5 linked regions of the Cricetulus griseus genome follow. The protein of the gene in region 3 purifies or fractionates together with the protein of the main gene of each other region. This does not show direct contact. Links are inferred from orthologs where the notes say so. Each region holds a gene or a part of one and is shown on either strand. Other genes may lie near its edges.

Region 1 (3,500 bases), on a different chromosome or scaffold from region 3:
CATAACGGATGGTTGTGAGCCACCATGTGGCTGCTGGGAACCGAACTCAGGACCTCTGGAAAAGCAGTCAGTGCTCTTAACCTCTGAGCCATCTCTCTAGCCCCATCCATTTTATTTTTTAACCTTTATTTTTTTGTTTGTTTGCTTGTTTTTTTGAGACAGGGTTTCTCTGTGTAACAGTACCGGGACTTACTTTGTAGACCAGGCTGGTCTTGAACTCACAGAAATCTGCTTGCCTCTGCCTTCTAAGTGCTGGGATTAAAGGTATGCACCATTACTGCCCCCCCCCTTTTTAAAATTCTATTTAACTTTTTATTTATGTGTGTGAGCCTGTGTGAATTTATGTGCACTACATATGTGAAGGTACTCGGAATAAAAGGGCATTAGATTCCTTGGAACTAGCATTATACAGGCAGTTGTAAGCTGCCATGTGAGTGCTAGGATCTGAATCTGGGTTCCCTGGAAGAACATGAAGTACTCCTAACTGCTGTGCCACCTCTTCATCCCAAGTGTTCCACTTTCAGAAAAGAAATAAGGTGCTTCCTGGTGTAGCTAGTCCTCACTGTATAGCAAGGAGGCACAAGAGTCCTTTAAAAGATGGCAAAAGCCATCACTTGCGGTGGCCTTCTCACCATAGCCTTGGAGGAACATAAGGCAGGGAGATGAACTTTCATGGCCCCTAGCTCAACAGACCAAGATCAAGTGCATGACAGGCAGTGCCAGCTGGTAACTTCGAAGGTCACACTGTCTATAAGAGATTACATTAGAGTTACTGCTAAATTCATGAGGAGTAAATATGAAATGAATAGGATTGAGGCAAGCATTCCTGAAAATGAAAGACTACCTAAAATTATATACTGGGTGTTGCTTAGTGGTAGACCACTTACCTAGTATGTACAAGGTACTAGGTTCTACCCACATAACACACATAAGTTAGTGTCTCGTGTGTGTGTGTGTGTGTGTGTGTGTGTGTGTGTGTGTATGTGTGTGTGCGCGCGCACACCTGTCTCTCTCTCTCTCACACACACATACACATTTAGAAATAAGACTAGAGAGATGGTTTAGTGGTTAAGAGTTCTTGTTGGCCTTGCAGAAAATCCAAGTTTGGTTCTCAGCATCCACACAGTGGCTCACAACCAATCATAACTCTAGTTCCTGAGGATTCAATGCCCTCTTCTGATCTCTACAGGCACCAGGTACACATGTGCTATACATATATACAAGCAGGAAAAACATTCATGCCTTAAATAAAAAGGCTTATAAATTTAACAGTATTTAGAAATTATATCTTTACATAATAGCCACTTTTTTTTTTCTTTTTTCTTTTTTTTTTTTCTGAGACAGGGTTTCTCTGTGGCTTTGGAGGCTGTCCTGGAACTAGCTCTTGTAGACCAGGCTGGTCTCAAACTTACAGAGATCCACCTGCCTCTGCCTCCTGAGTGCTGGGATCAAAGGCATGTGCCACCACTGCCTGACCATAATATCTACTTTTATTTCATTACTTTACTCTATAGGTAAGGAGGAGTCCCTGTTCTATGTGAGGTCATCTAAATGGCCTCAGTACAAACACAGAGTATGGAATTTGGACAGAGGTAGACTGAGAGAATCTCTTTCAGATGTGATGGCTGGAGTTGATGGCAACTTTTGCTGCAGCACCAGCCTTGAGATCCTTACCATTCTGAACTCCGATGATAGTAGTAGCCCTCTATGGAGGCTGCTGACTTCTGAAAGCAGATGTAATAGAAACCAGCAAAGGAAGCACCACTGATGTCTTTGATTGTGTGGTCCGGGACCAGGAACTGCTCCTACACATAGATATGAGATCAGTCAATACCTTCCCTTTCAGTAAGACACCAGAAGGTTCTAAAGATGGCTAGAAAAAAGGTCTCTGCCTGGTTTTGGGGTGGTGTTCATATATGTTACTACAGTATCCTACCTACCTTTCTGTGCACACAGGACCAGCAACTCAGAGGAGGGATCATTGCTGGAGATCTAACAGACCAAACAATATGACTTTCTTGTCTACTTACCTCTTGGAGACCGCTTGACAGAATCACCTAGGAATCGATTCAGTCTGGTTTTCAGGAACTGTCACTGGGTTCTGATTACCTCTGAGTCACATCTATTGCAGCCTGTGGTCATTCTGAGGTGAGAGTCCCTGTGACATCTCACTAAAGCTCTACCCTGGTCAAAGTCATAAGAACACACTACAGAGACAGGTGACCTGCCATTTGTGAAAGACTCCTGTTCTCCACAAGATGGGGTCAGAAGCCCCAGGGCTTCAGGGAAACCAAAATACAATGTGAGTTACTCTAAAAGAAATTGTTTGGAGACAACTCCACTGCTTTAACTGTTTTCATTTACTTTCCAATGCTGGGATGAAACCCAGGACTTTGCTAGACAAATGCTCTACCATAAACTATACTCCCAACCCTTCTCCTTCTCCAACTTTTTTCTTTTTAAATGGATTCTCTTTTCTGCCTCATTCAAACTTCAAAATACCATTTTTTATCTATCTATCTATCTATCTATCTATCTATCTATCTATCTATCTATTTATTTTTTAGGGATTTTATTTATTTATTATGTATGCAGTCTTCTGCCTGCCATGCCAGCAGAGGGCACAAGATCTCATTCAAGGTGGTTGTAAGCCACCATGTGGTTGCCTGGAATTGAACTCAGGACCTCTGGAAGAGCAGTCAGTGCTCTTAACCACTGAGCCATCTTTCCAGCCCCCATTTTCATTATTTATTTATTTATTTATTTATTTTGGTTTTTCAAGACAGGGTTTCTCTGTGTAGCTTTGCAGCCTATCCTGGCACTCACTCTGGAGACCAGGCTGGCCTCAAACTCACAGAGATCTGCCTGCCTCTGCCTCCTGAATGCTGGGATTAAAGGCGTTCACCACCAACGCCCGGCTTCAAAATACCATTTTAAAGTTTAATTTAGGTCTAAGATCTAGCTCAGTGGTAAAACACTTGCCTAATATGTGCAAAGCCTGAGTTACAGCCTCAGCACTGGAATAAAATTAATCTAAACATCAGTACAAGTTCTTTAAAGGATTAGATGGCATATTTCCCACTGAACGGCAGGCTGGGGAGGGAGCCTCAGTATGTGCTAGTGTGGGCTAGAGAGGGAAGCTCAGTATGTACTGGATAGCAGAGTGGGATGGAGATGGAGGCTCAGTATATACTGGATGGCAGATGGGGCTAGAGAGGGAAGCTCACTGTGTGCTCTCCTGCAACTGTCAAGTGAAGAAATGCTATTCTACTTCCCAAATGATCAGTCACACAAAGCACAGACAGCAAGCGACCACTTTAGTCTTCATGAAACTGTATCATATTCAAGCAGCTTCCTTTCTTCTTTTGGTTTTTCGAGACAGGGTTTCTCTGTATTGCTTTGGAGGCTGTCCAGGAACTCGTTCTATAGACCAGGCTGGCCTCGAACTCACAGAGATCCACCTACCTCTGCCTCCCAAGTGCTGGGATTAAAGGTGTGCG
Region 2 (3,500 bases), on a different chromosome or scaffold from region 3:
AACTTTACATCTCTATAGCAGCAGCTTCATGAGAGATCCCATACAACACTCCTTTGCTAGAATGAAGAGGAAGAGAGAAAGGCAGCTCTCTCCACACTACCAAAAGCATTGCTGAGGCATGGCACACTACCTACTAAAGCCAAATAGCAAAGTTATTGTCTTTTGTATGACTACAAGGGAGCATAAGTGAGCATGAGTGGGCAAGCAAGAAATGTGTTTGGATAAATGAAGACACAATGAAGTACAGCCACCCATAAGAAACGTAACTCCTTCTTATACCTAAAATAATAAACAGAGTTATCTAAAAGTACCTTGACTTAGTTTATAACCACATGCATGCTTTTATTAGAATGTTAAATTTAAAAACAGAAACAAAAATGAAAAAAATCTATATATAAAGCTACAACTTTATGTACACACAGAATTCTAACCACACTCAGAAGTATTATACTTATTTTTAATTCAGTTTTTTTTTAATAATGCATTCTTATGGCCTAAGTCTTAAATTAAAAATTCACCAGAAAGCAATTTTAATTTTGGAAACACTAGTGATTTTGTTGCTAGCTTTGACAACTGGAAAATTTTCACAGATGAAACAAGTAATACAACATGAAATAAGATTTTTAACCTTAAAAGATATACAAGTACAAAAATCAAAGTCACTAAGTAAAAGGGAAAAAAATAATTTGAATTGGTTTATCAGTGAGAACTCACGACTTGTCCTTTGTTTTATCAAAAGATAAATGTGTATATATGGATAAAGGGGAGGCTCCTACTGGTCAAAGATAGATTAAAAAAACAAAAACAAAAAAAAACCCGAAAAACTGACAGCACTGAATTTAAAATATCATGCATATAAAAATTCATGAGCTCATAATTACAATGTTTTTTTCTACCTCACTGGTTAACTTTGGAAACTGAATTCATTAACATGCAAATAAACAAATCATACATCCATTAATTCACTTAGATTTATTTATTTGAGACAAAGTCTTACTACATAGCTCTGACTGACTCGGAACTCACTATGTAGACCAGGGTGGCCTCAAAAACAAAGAGATTCCCACTGTCTCTGTTTATATTAAAGGCATGCACTACCACACCCAGTGGTTTAGTTCTTTTTCTTTTTTTAAGATAGGGTTTTTCTATGTGTTCCTGGCTGGCCTCGAACTTGCTGTGTGCAGCCCAGGTTGACCTCAAACTCATGGTCTGCCTGCCTTAGTCACCAAAGTGCTGGGATCACAGGTGTGCATCACCAGGCCTGGCCCAAGAATTAGATGGTTTCATTTTAGAGTAACCAAACAACTCATGATATAAAGATGTTTTGTTGTTCTTTTTAAAAAACAAAAAAACAAAAGTAGAATTACACTTAATAATGCAGAAGAAACAACATCAGAAAAATCACTATTTTGTGATAGCTAATGAAATCTAGACAATGAATACCCAATGAATATCAATAGGTAAAGATTATAGGAAATTTCATAATTGATCAACCAAACTAATAATTCCTAAACTCACTAACATTTATCAAAAACATAAACAACAACATTAAATGCCTCTTGATATCCTATGATCAGAATACTGGTGAAGTGTTGTTGTGTTTCTTCCTGGCCTCCCTGTGAAAGGACAGCAACTATAAATCAAGCCTTCAGGTAGAAATGACTAGTTTATAGAAAATACGACAGAGAAACACATTAAATAATGCAATGAAGATACAATCAGTCAAGTGAGAATGGGAAACATTGTAGATTACAATAATTCTGATTTTTAAAAACCAGAGTGAGTAGAATGTACACGGAGAAAAGAAGGACATTCTGCGGCAGTACCCAGGTAGGTGTATTTGGGATCCCAACCTGAACAAACCAGTTCTGGAAAGCTGTTATTCAGGCCATCAGAACAGCATAAGTGCAGACCAGGCATTCTATAATATTACAAACTGCTTTCATTGTGACGGATATGATAATGGTAATACCATTTTTTAAGAGTGCTATCATTGTAGGTGCAATTGTCCCTCAGTATCAGTACAGGTGACCCCCAAATCCCTTAGGATTTGCAAATAACATATACATATCCTCTTATGTACTTTAAATCATCTGTACATTATTTTTAATATCTAGTATAAACTGTAGGACACGAGAGCAGTTGTTTAGCAAATAAAGTTTTTTTAAAAGTCTATACATGTTCAGTAGAGATAAAAAAAATTTTAATAGTATTTTTAATCCATGATTGTTTAAATCTGTGGATGCATAGTCCACAGATATGAAGGACCTGCTAAATAAAGACATCCTAACTGAGGTCTTCCTGAAAAATATTCCCAACATAATAAAATGTAAAAAGCTCTAAAAGTGACAGGAATGTAATTAAAGTAGGAGAGATACACTAAAAACAGACAGATTGTTTACTGATCAAACTGAAAGACATATGTTCTCAGAAATTCACTATTATCTCCTTCTTTGCACTTCATATAAAGAATATTTTTAAAATATGCATGTTGAATAACATATGGTCTAATACTTTGTTCACACAAAGAAGGATTACCTGCTTCAAAAGGAGAACTCTTTTTGTTGTTTTTGTTAGTAAACTCTTGTTCTAATTCTATAAAACCAATCTGTACTTAATTGAGAGTAGCATCAGGAAAAATAATTCAAAATTATCCATCTAACTACTAAGAAATGTTCACTAATGGTTAAGTCCTAAAAAAGAGCTAATTATACGACAGCTAGGTAACCAGTAAAGTCAGTAATAAAAGCACCTACCTCTATCTTCAGGTAATAATCACTTAGGAGTTAGTTTCTAACTTGATGGAAATGACTAAATGGCAGTTCTATTTTCTCTTTCACTGCTGTATTAATCATTTATTTCTAGCGAAAGCTTTGCTTTTTTACTAATCTCTCCTATAAAGATACACATGACAAAATAACACAATGTACAGAATATTCTTACTGAGTGGAACAGCATGCAGTGTCCAATTCGAGACTGGATGTCCTCAGGGCCAGCATTACAGGAGTCTTCTCGAAGAAGCTTCCAGGTTTGACACTGGCAGTTGAATGCAAACAAGCCACTGAATTGTGGTTCACTGGCTCTGCTGTCATCTACACTGCCATTACATGTCAAAATTCTACCACCGAAGGTGTAGATCATATGTTTTTCTGAATCCATACACATCTACGAGAACAAGGCAACAGATTGAACAGTTTTAGTTTGTTCCTTCGGATGTGCCAAAATGGGATCAGTATGTATGGTTTCACATTCTCAAAGAAACCCTGAACTTTGCTCTTAATGATGCTAAGTACATCTCTTAATTATTATACACACATATTGTAATACTGTTCAGAAATTCAGGATAGCTTTCTAAACACCTTTTCAATTTTCATTTACTCCAATTAAAATGAATATACTGAGTTAAGGAACTTTGCTTTCTTGATGCCATGCTACAAGATTTAACCAGAGCCAGCAATGAGTCATGGCATATTGGGTCTTACTAACCCTGCATACCGATC
Region 3 (3,500 bases):
CCAAATCCTTGAGCAGATTAAACTAACAAAAGAGATTAGATGTTATCCACTTTTGATAAATAGTTAAGAAACTACTTTCTAAATCTAATTATGGGCTGAGCATGGTGCTGTACACCTTTAATGCCAACACTTGGGAAGCAGGGACAGACACAAGTCTGAGTTTGATGCTGGCCTGGTCTACAGATCAGCCAGGGCTACACAGAGAAACCTTGTCTCAAAGAATCAAATAAGTAAATAACTACATAACTCTAGCTTCATTCATGTATCCTTATTACATCTTATCTTTACACAAGAAGGTTTATTTAATGTTAAGAAATCAGACACTTACTTGCTACCATTAAACATTTTATTCAGGGCATCTCTTGATATAATATGACCACAAACCAATTTCATGGGTGGATTGTTATCTGTTGTTTGCTGACGAAGAATGGGGCAGGCAAATATGGAGTGATACCAGCACTTCTTACCAAGGTCCACTTCAATCTGTTCAGAAAAGAAAAATGTAGAAAGGCTCGTGAAACCCTGAAAACGCTCCAGACACCTGTGCACGGTGCAGCAAGAACATGTTTGGAGTGACTCTAGGGGAACTGTCTTAAAGAAAGGGAAGTCTTAAGATTCAAAGTTGAGTTAAACTGGTCTGCAAAACTACACTACTACTTTGTAAACCAGATTTTGGGGTCTGAAGGAATCAGATACCATGCTTCAGAAACCAATACTTTTTTGTTGGTGGTATCAGGCAGCAAACTCACAGCCTAGACCACAAGTGACCACCACTAAGCCACATCCCCAGCCTAAACACCTTGAAAATTTATTAGAACATATATATCAAAGGCAAAACCACCAGATATCCTGACTGCCCTGTAGGCAGCACTCGGTTAGGTGATAAACTCAGTGAAACAACTCCTCCAAGCACAGCCTAAATATAGTTATCTTCTGTATGAACTTTAGGTCTGAGTTTCCTATGTCATTTGTGTGAAGTGGTCCAGAGAAAACCTGAAACAGGGAGGTAAGCCAAGTTTTGTGCCCCCCCCCTTTCTCTTTTCTTATTTTGCAGTGGTGGGAACCCAATGTAGGGCTTTGCATGTGGCTAGGCAGCTTGAAGCCAGCACCCCAATCCTATCCCTTATGCACATGCTTTTTTTTTTTTTTTTTTTGCTTATTGAGATAGGATCTCATAAGTTGTCTAGGCAGGCCTTGAACTTGTGATGCCCTTGCCTTAGCCTTCCAAGTGCCTGGAATTACAAGCTTGTACCACCAGTATCTGCTTGAGCCAAATCTCAACAGGATCTTTTGTGATTTGTACACTAAAGCTCATGGCATGCTATCACCATTATATTTTTGCCACAAACATATCTAATTATATAAAAGCTTGAAGTCATATAGCAGAGCAGCTGCTTCACCCCAGAACCTCAACACACACATTGTTTCCCTTCCTTCTCAATCTGCAACAGCTATAGTTCTACAAGAACTTCACTGCCAGGTGTGGTGGCACCTTTAATCCCAGCAGAGAAAGGAAATCTGAGCTTGAGGCCAAGCCTGATCTATTCATGGAGTTCCATGCCAGCCAGGGATACACAGTGAAACACTGATTCAAAAAATAAACAAAAATAAAAGGTTCTTTAAGGAAAATTGACAAAGCGTAGGAGATGTATTCACAGGGATCTGAGTCCAAACTACACTACCACAAAAATGGTGGAACAGACCTACAAACCCAGAGGAAACTAAATGAGACACATAGTAAGAGCATCTTTAAAAACAAAAACAGGAGGACAAAAGCCAAAGCACATCAAAGTAATCCTGAGGAAGGATTACCAGCCACTACCTCCTGTTGCTTTCCTAGCCCCCAATACACACTGTCAGTTGGATCCTACTGATTGCTCTACTTCAGTGTGCAAATTTCAAAGATGCTCACAGACAGTAAATAAAATTGCCCAAGCTGGGCACCTGCTTACGGAACTCACTATGTAGGCCAGGCTGGTCTCAAACTCAAAGATCTGCCTACTTTTGCTTCCTGAGTGCTGGAATTAGTGTGTGCCATCACTCCCTCAGGTCTATTTTAATTAGTTAACTGATTTGTTTCCTTTTTAGAGTGGTGTTGGACCCAAAACTATACTCCCAACCTTATTTTTTACTCATGTTATGTGCATTAAAACCAAACCCGTTAAATGGGTACAATAGTGTTTTCTGATTAAATGGCATGATGAGCATTTTAACTCTTAAAACATCCATTTTCTTTCTTCTTCCTTCCTTCCCTCCTCCTCCTCCTCCTCCTCTTTTTTTTTTTTTGTTTTACAGGACAGGGTTTCCCTGTGTAGCTTTGGAACCTGTCCTGGAACTCGCTCTGTAGACCAGGTTGGACTTGAACTCACAGAGATTCATCCGCCTCTGCCTCCCAAGCACTGGGATCAAAGGCGTGCACCACCACTGCCCAGCAAAACACCCAATTTCTAAGGTGGGAAGGGAAAACAAACAATAGAACTCACAGGTAATTCGTCTTTCTGGTTCCAGACTCCAGTACACTGCCTCTGTTCAATAACAGCTTTGATGTTGATTAGTGCTGGCAGTGCCACACAACCTGCCGAGAAACTGAGGACAAAAGAGAAGCATCAGGGCCAACTCCAAGGGTGCCAACCCCAAAGCAAAGAGCCAGGCAGCTGTTTCCTCTGAAAGTAAAATGAACTGATTTTCTCCCCCAATCCTTCTGCTCCCAGCCCTCAGCTATATTTCCTGTAGTTACTAAACCCTTTACAAACAAAACATAAAACCCTAATGCTACCACATAAGCTTAGCCAGTATGGCAGAAATGGGGAAAAAAAAAAGAAAGAAAGAAAAAGAAAAAAAGAACAATCGTTAAAAAGACCATTTTCTGATTGGATGGTTTAATTTTCATTTAATTCCTCAGCAATTAAAAAAAATAGTAGCTGGTTCTGCCCTATCAGAAGAGGGTCAGCACTGACATTGGTGCCGAAAGGGAGGAGCCACCATGAGAAGCATGAACGCCCCCACCCCCCAGTCACCTCCTTCAGAAAGCAGGGCACTAAAGTGCTGACTGATGCCTGCCTCCAAGCACAGCGGACTGTCCTTCTTCACATTTAAAGGGAAAGAGTATTTCTGAGTCTCTTCTCTATGAGTATGACTAGGTAAGGTTATATGAATTACACCTTCCAAAGTTTCCCTCCAGTTTACAATATAGAAAAATCTACAATCCCATCACCAAACTCATCAGAAAAGACTTTACAAGCTCATACCCAAAATTTCAACTTTAGCCTAAATTTTTAACCTTTATCATTATGTCAAAAGAAACACTTATTTGGCATCACTTGTTTCCTTAGCTTCCGTCAACCACTTGGAAAAATAACTGTCAAATCCAAAATGTGAGTAACTGTGGTTTTGGTTCTGTGGATTACATAACCTAATGTTAAAAATTAAAACGTACTAGCGGGACATTGGTGGCTCACGCCTTTAATCCCAGTACTCGGGAGGCAGAGGCAGGTGGATCA
Region 4 (3,500 bases), on a different chromosome or scaffold from region 3:
GAGGGAAGAAGGGAGGACCGGCCAGGTAGGAGGAGTGGGATTCTGCCCATGGCTTCTAGGTCTCTGTACCAGGTGCCTATGGAGGGCAGGGTTGTTCCAGCCCTAGGGCTGAAGGATGGCTAGACAGAGCCAGCCAGGAAGGTCAGCTAGTGCAAGTAGTCATCGACTCTGGCAAAAGAGCAAGATCCCAGGCCTGCTCGGGCCATAAGTCGTAGACATTCAGAAGCCTGGCCCAGGGCGAGCATCAGAGGAGGCTGCTTTGGCAGGTTCTGAGACTCTGTGGAGAAGATTACAAGGTATGGTCAATGCCTAGCCAAGGAATTGGGCACAGGTCAAAGTTCCCTAGAGGTTAGAGGTATGGACAGAACTCTTAGAACAGTATTATTGTCTGAGTGTCCTAGACATCAGGCCATGGCCCTGCATTCATGATAGGAACCCGAGGACCTTGGCCTTCTCTAGAGCAAGCTGGTCTGGCCCATGGCCATGAAGTAGCAGCCAACTCAGGTAGGCAGAGGGTGTTAGGGTCAGGTTCCCTGTGAATTGGCCTATGCTAATCTTGATGCTCTTCCTAGGAAGACGGAAGGTGGCCACCCACACACTCATGGGTTAACTTTTGCTTTCATTAGATGTACTTACCTAAAATGGCGCTGTTGAGAGCAGCACACACGGGCTCCCTCTGGATGGGATCAAGCTGATGGCCAACTGGGCAGCTCCAGGGGTCTGAGTATGCTAGTAAGCTAAAGGCATCCTAAGGGACAGAGCACTCGTGAGAGGAATGTAGCATACTATACATAGTCCCATAGCTCCAGAAAAGGACAGAATACTGCATGGGGCCCAGTGAGAGCTCATTATATCTGGACTATAGAGTCAGGCAAAGCTATACCCTCTTTAGGTCTTAGAATGGGTGAAGAACACCCTAAACACCCCACATCCTACTGCAGACATGACTAGAGCCCATTCTGGCCTATTACTACAGCCCCTAGATGTTCCCAGAGCCCCAGCATCAAATGGGGAACTGCTTTGTATGAGGACCTGGCTTATCCTATACCTGCAGCATCTCCGTGTGGGCCAAATTCTTGCCGTACTCTCGGCCCAGTTGCTCACTCAATGCCTGCAACTCTCGGCCAAACAGGATGATCCTTTCTGTGGCAGCCTGGTTGCCCCCGCAGAGCTGCCGCCGTGGATGCCCATCGTCTGCACCCAGAGGCCAGCAGAAAACACATTAGAGGGCGAAGAGGGAAGAACAGGAAGGACACCATGAAGCTACAGCTTCTGCCAAAGGCAGGCAAGGGCTAGGAGACCAAGCAGGTGGAGCAGCTAAGTCCAGCTGGCATATAGACTAGAAGTGGTACAAGACTTGGCAACTTCCCTCATCCCACCCTGCACAAATGCATGTTACTAATGAGGTCCACATTCTTGTACTCTCTTTAGCCTTGAAGGGGTCTTGGCAGCGAGCATGGACCTTCTTACACACTGGAAGCCACCTCAATGATGCATCCAGGAATGACTAAGAAAGTGGTGGATTCAGTCCAGCTGCAGTTTCTCAAGCTGCCAGAGCCTGCCATCTTAGCCCCTCTTAGGAGGAAATGGGCATTAGGACTGTATGTTGCCCTCTCAAGGAACATAGGGGCTGGGTCATACTAAGGAACAACACTTACCCATGCTGGACTCATCTGTCTGCAGGTCTTCATGCTTGTAGGCACCATTGACTATGCGCGTGGATATGCTCTCCAACACACCGTTAGGATAATGTTCTGCCTCCATCTCCATTTCACTGTCACTGTAGAGAAGAGTTGAGATAAGAGTTGGGCCTCTATCCAGGTTTTGTTTACCATCACTTCATGTAAACTGAAGGAGTTTACCTGAGGGACTATAATGGCTCCTATGATGGCATCAAACTGAAGGACTGTCAGGAACACAAAAGGATAGCCCAAGCTTTCTAGGCTCCAAAACTTAGCGCCTACTACAGTTATCTCCAGGTGCCTGTTACATGATTCCTATTCTTGTCCCAAAGCTGCCCCTGTGACTCTTCTCAGTAGCTCTCTGAGTTGACACACCTCTTTAATATATATCCCACTTGTCCCTACCAACTCAACTGATTGGGGCCTTGTCAGGACCCAAACCAAGGTTAGCTTTTAGGCATGCCTAGAACCTGCTAAGAGCCATCTGGAGCTTCTGCCTACAGCCCAGATCACCTGGCTGCCCATGAGCCTGATTTCATAAAAACTGCTTAACTGTAGACCCTTGAGGTTCTAATAGGCCTAGCCTCCTTGGAGAAGGAGTCCCTGCGTTCTCAAGTCTGGCAGGGTCAGCATCTCCAGACAAAACCAGAGCCAAGGAAATTGACAGCTATATCTTGAATGGGGACAGAACCCAGAACCAGTGTTTGGCTTGACCTTTCAATGGATTGAAATCCAGGCAAGACCTACAAAAGAGGTGAGGGTAAAGGGCAGAAGATAGCATTTAAAAGAAGACACTACCCAGTGGCAGGTCCAGCGGGAAGAGAACAGAAGCAGAGGGAGAGAGAGGAGCAAGACAGGCACCTGGTCTCCTGGTTACTGGCACTGCTGTGGGGCTGGGACTTGGTGGAGTCTGTTGAGTTGGACTCGGAGTAATTGATGGAGGACGGGGAAGAGGAGGACGAGGAGGACGAGGATGAGGAGGAGGAGCTGGGTGCGGGGTATTTACTGTGGTTCTGTTTGTTCTTGGTAGATGCAATGCCATTGCTGCAGCTGGGACTGTCTGCTCCTAGAAGCCAGGTGGGTCAGAGAAGGGTGGTCAGAAGTGGGGCCCCAGGAATTGCCACAGTAGTCCTTTCCCTTCTACCCAGTCCAGCAGCCAGTCCTAAGCCCACCACAATGAAAGGTAGGTAGGTGGCCATTCTTCTCCACACCAGCTCTTCCCAGAGACTCTGGAGAATGGCCACCCACCTGTGTTGTGCATGTGGGAACTACTAGGGCCATGTCGGGGGCTGAGGCTGGGGGAGCCAGGGTAGCTGTCCTGGGACTTGGGGCTTCGGGAGCTCAAACTTCGGACTTCACTGTCGGTGCCATTCACCATCTCCACAAACTGTCGACACCTGTGAAGGGAGCAGAGCATTGATGCTCTAGGCTGGCCCAGGGTGTGGGCTCCTGTTGCAAGCTGAGGGCCAGGCTCTGGTACCATAACCTGACTTACTTGAGCATGAAGAGCAGGTTGGGGTTGTGCTCCAGCAGCCCAGGGTAGAAGCGCTGGGTCGTTTCAATGGCTTCACCCACCCGGCCTTCAAGCACCAGCTTCTGGATTTCTGTAGAGAAGAGCATGGCTGTGAGTAAGGGCTGAGATCCCCTCCATATCCCTGGCCAGAAGTCAGGTGGGCTGGCTCTTGGCATGCTGCTAGCTGGAGGAGCTCACAGAAAAGACTGAGGGAACCCGGTTGCCCAGGACCACAGCAGAGGCTGGTTTTGGTCAGCTGTCATGGAGTCATCAAGAATATGAGGGGAGAACAAAAAAAGCTCACA
Region 5 (3,208 bases), on a different chromosome or scaffold from region 3:
GTGGGTGTCCAGATGGCGTCACGTGTAGGGGCCTTTTACAGTCAGTCATTAAAAAACATGTTGATTTTCTGAATATCAAGTCTCCGTACTGGTTTTAAATAGCTTATAACAAAAGTGTAAATGTTAGAATGTTCTAGCAAGCAGAGGACCAGCTACAAGCCACAGAGCCAGCCTCAACTCTGGGTGCAGCTGGGGGACATGGCTTGCTCACTTGAACTTGGCCAGTAGAAAATTTTGCAGTGGATTCCAAAAGTATGTGGTTACAAACACTCGCTTGGTAATAGGCACAGTAGAGACGTTGTGCTGTGTGGCTGCAGGGGCATGGGCTGGGCCCGCAGAGCCACATACCCGCCGCCCTCTGCGCACGCATGGAGGTCCATGTGGCAGTGGCAGGCACTGCCCAGGCTAGGGATCCAGCTCAGCACTGCCCTCGCCACCCACGTTCTCAGGCCGTGGCCGAGGCCACAGCTGCTCCTGAAGCTCCTTCACCACCTTCTCCAGGTGCTCACGGGCCTCACGCTCCCTCAGCAGGTCAGCTCGAAGCTGCTCTCGGTCGGCCTCTGCATGCTGCAGTTTCGCTTGCAGGTCCTCAATCTGAAAGGGATGCTGAGTGGTCAGTAGTGCCTAACACTAGCACTTACCACTCCCTTGAGTTCCTACTGAGCCCTTGGTGCCATGTCTGCCCCCAAACGCCCAGATGCCCAGGCTTGGAAGAGCCTCCTTTCTGAAGTACCCAAGAGGGAACCAAACAGCATTACAGATGTAGAAGACCTTCCCTGCCCCTCTGGGTGTGAGTCCTAAGCTTTGGAAGCTGCCCCTCTGCAGTTACCAAGGCCCATCTCCTGATCCTAACTTAGAACTTGCTTCCCAGTTCTGGGGCCACCTGGACTTCCAACCCTGGCTATGGAAAACAGTCCCTAACACCCAAGCCCACGTCTGCTGGATACACCTCAGGGTCTCCAGGCATGGCACATGATCACAGATCCAGCCTGAATGGTTACATCACGGATGTTGAGTCTGTGAGAGTAGCTATTCACTGTGCATGTCAGTGTACCAACCAACCCACCCTAGTACCTGGGCTGAGTACTTGGCACGCAGACGGCCGGCCTCACAGCCCTTGTCACACACCCGGACCTGCCGTGCCTGCTCCAACTCTCGCTTCAGGCGCACCCGAGACTCATTGGCCTCTTTCATTTTCTTTTCATTTTCAGCTCGGAGACGCTCGATCTCTTTCCTCAAACTGCGCTTGGCCTCTGTGGCTTCCCGCAGTTTCTCCTTCTTGGCCACACGCAAGAATTCTAGCTCCTGGGAGGACACATGTAGCAGACAGGTTCAAGGTATTGCCAACCCAGCACCTTTGTGCCCACCCTGCACCCCAGTCTATTGACCTGACTGCTATCTCCCTTCCCTACAGGGCAGAACGCTTACTAGCTGTTGGTTGCTTATATCAAGGTTGCAGCAGAACCGTCTCACACTCTTCCACCTCAGAAACGCACCTGCCATGCCTCATGGGTAGGGGAGGAAACCACCAGGTAGACAGCGTCAGATACCTGTGCATCTGAGGCCCGGAGGTGACCCCCCAGCCAGATGGAGCCATTTCCTTTTGGTGCTTCCTTTGCTCTTGCCCCACTTGTTAGAATGCAGCATGACACCCGTCCCCCATGGTTTCCCCATGTGGGAAATAACACCTCCACCCAGAATGGGGGCAAGAGAGGATGAGGGAATGACTAAGACTCACTCAGAGGAGAACATCTGAAATCCTGCAGCCCTGAGGATTGACAAGGTTGTGTTGTGCTAAAGCCCACACATGTGAGGCTGCACCCAGAGCTGCCAGACTCAGGCTGAGGTGTGAATTCAGCAGAGGTTGAGCCTACAGCAAAGCCTTAATGCTGAGCCCTGGTGAAGACCAACACAGCTGAGTTCCTCAATCTTCCCAGGCTGCCCAAGAACTGGCCCTCCCTTATGCATGTCAGAAAAACAAAACAGCATGAAAACAAGGTATAAGAGGAATGGCTACTGCCTAGGAAACAGTGAGGTGGGGCCCAGACAAACAGCCAGTAAGCAGTGTGTAAGTACAAGCACACCTCCTAAGCATCTATTCCCCACAGCCTGCTGCTAAGTCCCCTTTGGAGAGACAGCTTCAGAAGTCATCCATGCACTCTATTTGCAGAGCACAAGTCTTGCTAGTAGAGAATAAACCAGACCCTGGCACAGAGAGAGAGGCATCACTAGTTCAGCTACTCCTCACTCACCATTAACACTGGCCTTTACCATGGCCAAGAAAACAGGCCAGTTCTTTCAGTGAGGCCCACACATAGGGGAAGCTGCAGCTGAGACCACTATGTGAGCACAGAAGGACTCTGGACATCAAAGTGCCTCAGAGGGCTGGGTCCTCCAGAGGACCTGGGAAGAGGGCTTGGGCAGCCCAAGAGGGAGGCTGTCTCCTGTATTTCATGGTCCTGCCTGCTGCCCGGCTTACCTGGTGCAGGCTGCGCTTAGCCTGTAGGGCTGCTGTCAGCTTCTCCTCTTGCTTCACACGCATTTTGACCACCTCATGTAGGAACTTCTCTTTGGCTTCCTTGGTATCCAGGCCACCCTCCAGGGCTTGCCGCAGATGCTCCAGCTCTGCCTCCAGCCCGCTTGGGGCATCAGCATGGACTGTAGCATCGGGGCCAGCCACAGGTTGAGCGTGCATGCCTGGGGAGCTCAGGTCCTTGGCAGAGCTGGACGAGGTAAAGGACGGAGAGGACAGCGAGGACAAGGAGGAGGTGACTGAGGACAGAGACAGAGAAACCAGAGCATTAGTGCTGTGGAGTACACTGGCCTGGTCACACCTGCCCCACCCTACCCATCCCCTGTATTGATACCCAAAGGAACGGAGTCCAATCCATACTTACATTCCTCTCTGCTTTCAACTTCCACCTCAGCCTCAGAATCCTTGTCCTCCTCAGGGGCAGCCACGGATGTCAGCATATCTGGGGCTCCTGGTGTTTCCATGGTCAGCTTCCGCTTCCGTGGCTGGATACAAGTGGTGAGAGGTTCTGGTGCCCGGGAGACCACGGTGGTGCATGGTGGACTGTTCACAACCTTTTGCTGGGTTGGTGGTGCTAGGGCCACATTGGGGGCCACAGCTGTCTCAAAGCTCTTGTAGGAGTAAAAGCTGTAGGAGGCAGAGATGCTTAGCCAGGGCACATCTGTCTCACAAGTC

What was found. Proteins that work in one complex are often made in the same cells at the same time.
Region 1: the proteins of Rmnd5a (region 3) and Gid4 purify together in Homo sapiens (affinity purification with mass spectrometry; 4 studies listed by BioGRID and IntAct, counting the BioPlex papers as one, with this or other methods). This does not show direct contact. The link is inferred for Cricetulus griseus from reciprocal best matches to the Homo sapiens genes RMND5A and GID4.
Region 2: the proteins of Rmnd5a (region 3) and Mkln1 purify together in Homo sapiens (affinity purification with mass spectrometry; 4 studies listed by BioGRID and IntAct, counting the BioPlex papers as one, with this or other methods). This does not show direct contact. The link is inferred for Cricetulus griseus from reciprocal best matches to the Homo sapiens genes RMND5A and MKLN1.
Region 4: the proteins of Rmnd5a (region 3) and Ranbp10 purify together in Homo sapiens (affinity purification with mass spectrometry; 4 studies listed by BioGRID and IntAct, counting the BioPlex papers as one, with this or other methods). This does not show direct contact. The link is inferred for Cricetulus griseus from reciprocal best matches to the Homo sapiens genes RMND5A and RANBP10.
Region 5: the proteins of Rmnd5a (region 3) and Ski purify together in Homo sapiens (affinity purification with mass spectrometry; 3 studies listed by BioGRID and IntAct, counting the BioPlex papers as one, with this or other methods). This does not show direct contact. The link is inferred for Cricetulus griseus from reciprocal best matches to the Homo sapiens genes RMND5A and SKI.

What each region holds. Positions count from the first base shown.
Region 1 is NC_048600.1:74,560,194-74,563,693, reverse strand, and holds part of Gid4 (glucose-induced degradation protein 4 homolog), read right to left. Parts: intron 1,806-3,500; coding exon 1,675-1,805; intron 1-1,674.
Region 2 is NW_023276806.1:196,392,383-196,395,882, forward strand, and holds part of Mkln1 (muskelin), read right to left. Parts: intron 3,166-3,500; coding exon 2,944-3,165; intron 1-2,943. UniProt on the Homo sapiens protein: Component of the CTLH E3 ubiquitin-protein ligase complex that selectively accepts ubiquitin from UBE2H and mediates ubiquitination and subsequent proteasomal degradation of the transcription factor HBP1.
Region 3 is NC_048601.1:63,077,558-63,081,057, forward strand, and holds part of Rmnd5a (E3 ubiquitin-protein transferase RMND5A), read right to left. Parts: intron 2,587-3,500; coding exon 2,484-2,586; intron 484-2,483; coding exon 329-483; intron 1-328.
Region 4 is NC_048596.1:182,048,947-182,052,446, forward strand, and holds part of Ranbp10 (ran-binding protein 10), read right to left. Parts: intron 3,287-3,500; coding exon 3,178-3,286; intron 3,080-3,177; coding exon 2,931-3,079; intron 2,749-2,930; coding exon 2,544-2,748; intron 1,781-2,543; coding exon 1,659-1,780; intron 1,195-1,658; coding exon 1,049-1,194; intron 749-1,048; coding exon 637-748; intron 278-636; coding exon 147-277; 3' UTR 1-146. UniProt on the Homo sapiens protein: May act as an adapter protein to couple membrane receptors to intracellular signaling pathways.
Region 5 is NC_048595.1:1,152,582-1,155,789, reverse strand, and holds part of Ski (ski oncogene), read right to left. Parts: intron 3,161-3,208; coding exon 2,898-3,160; intron 2,773-2,897; coding exon 2,480-2,772; intron 1,306-2,479; coding exon 1,075-1,305; intron 595-1,074; coding exon 406-594; 3' UTR 1-405. UniProt on the Homo sapiens protein: May play a role in terminal differentiation of skeletal muscle cells but not in the determination of cells to the myogenic lineage. Functions as a repressor of TGF-beta signaling.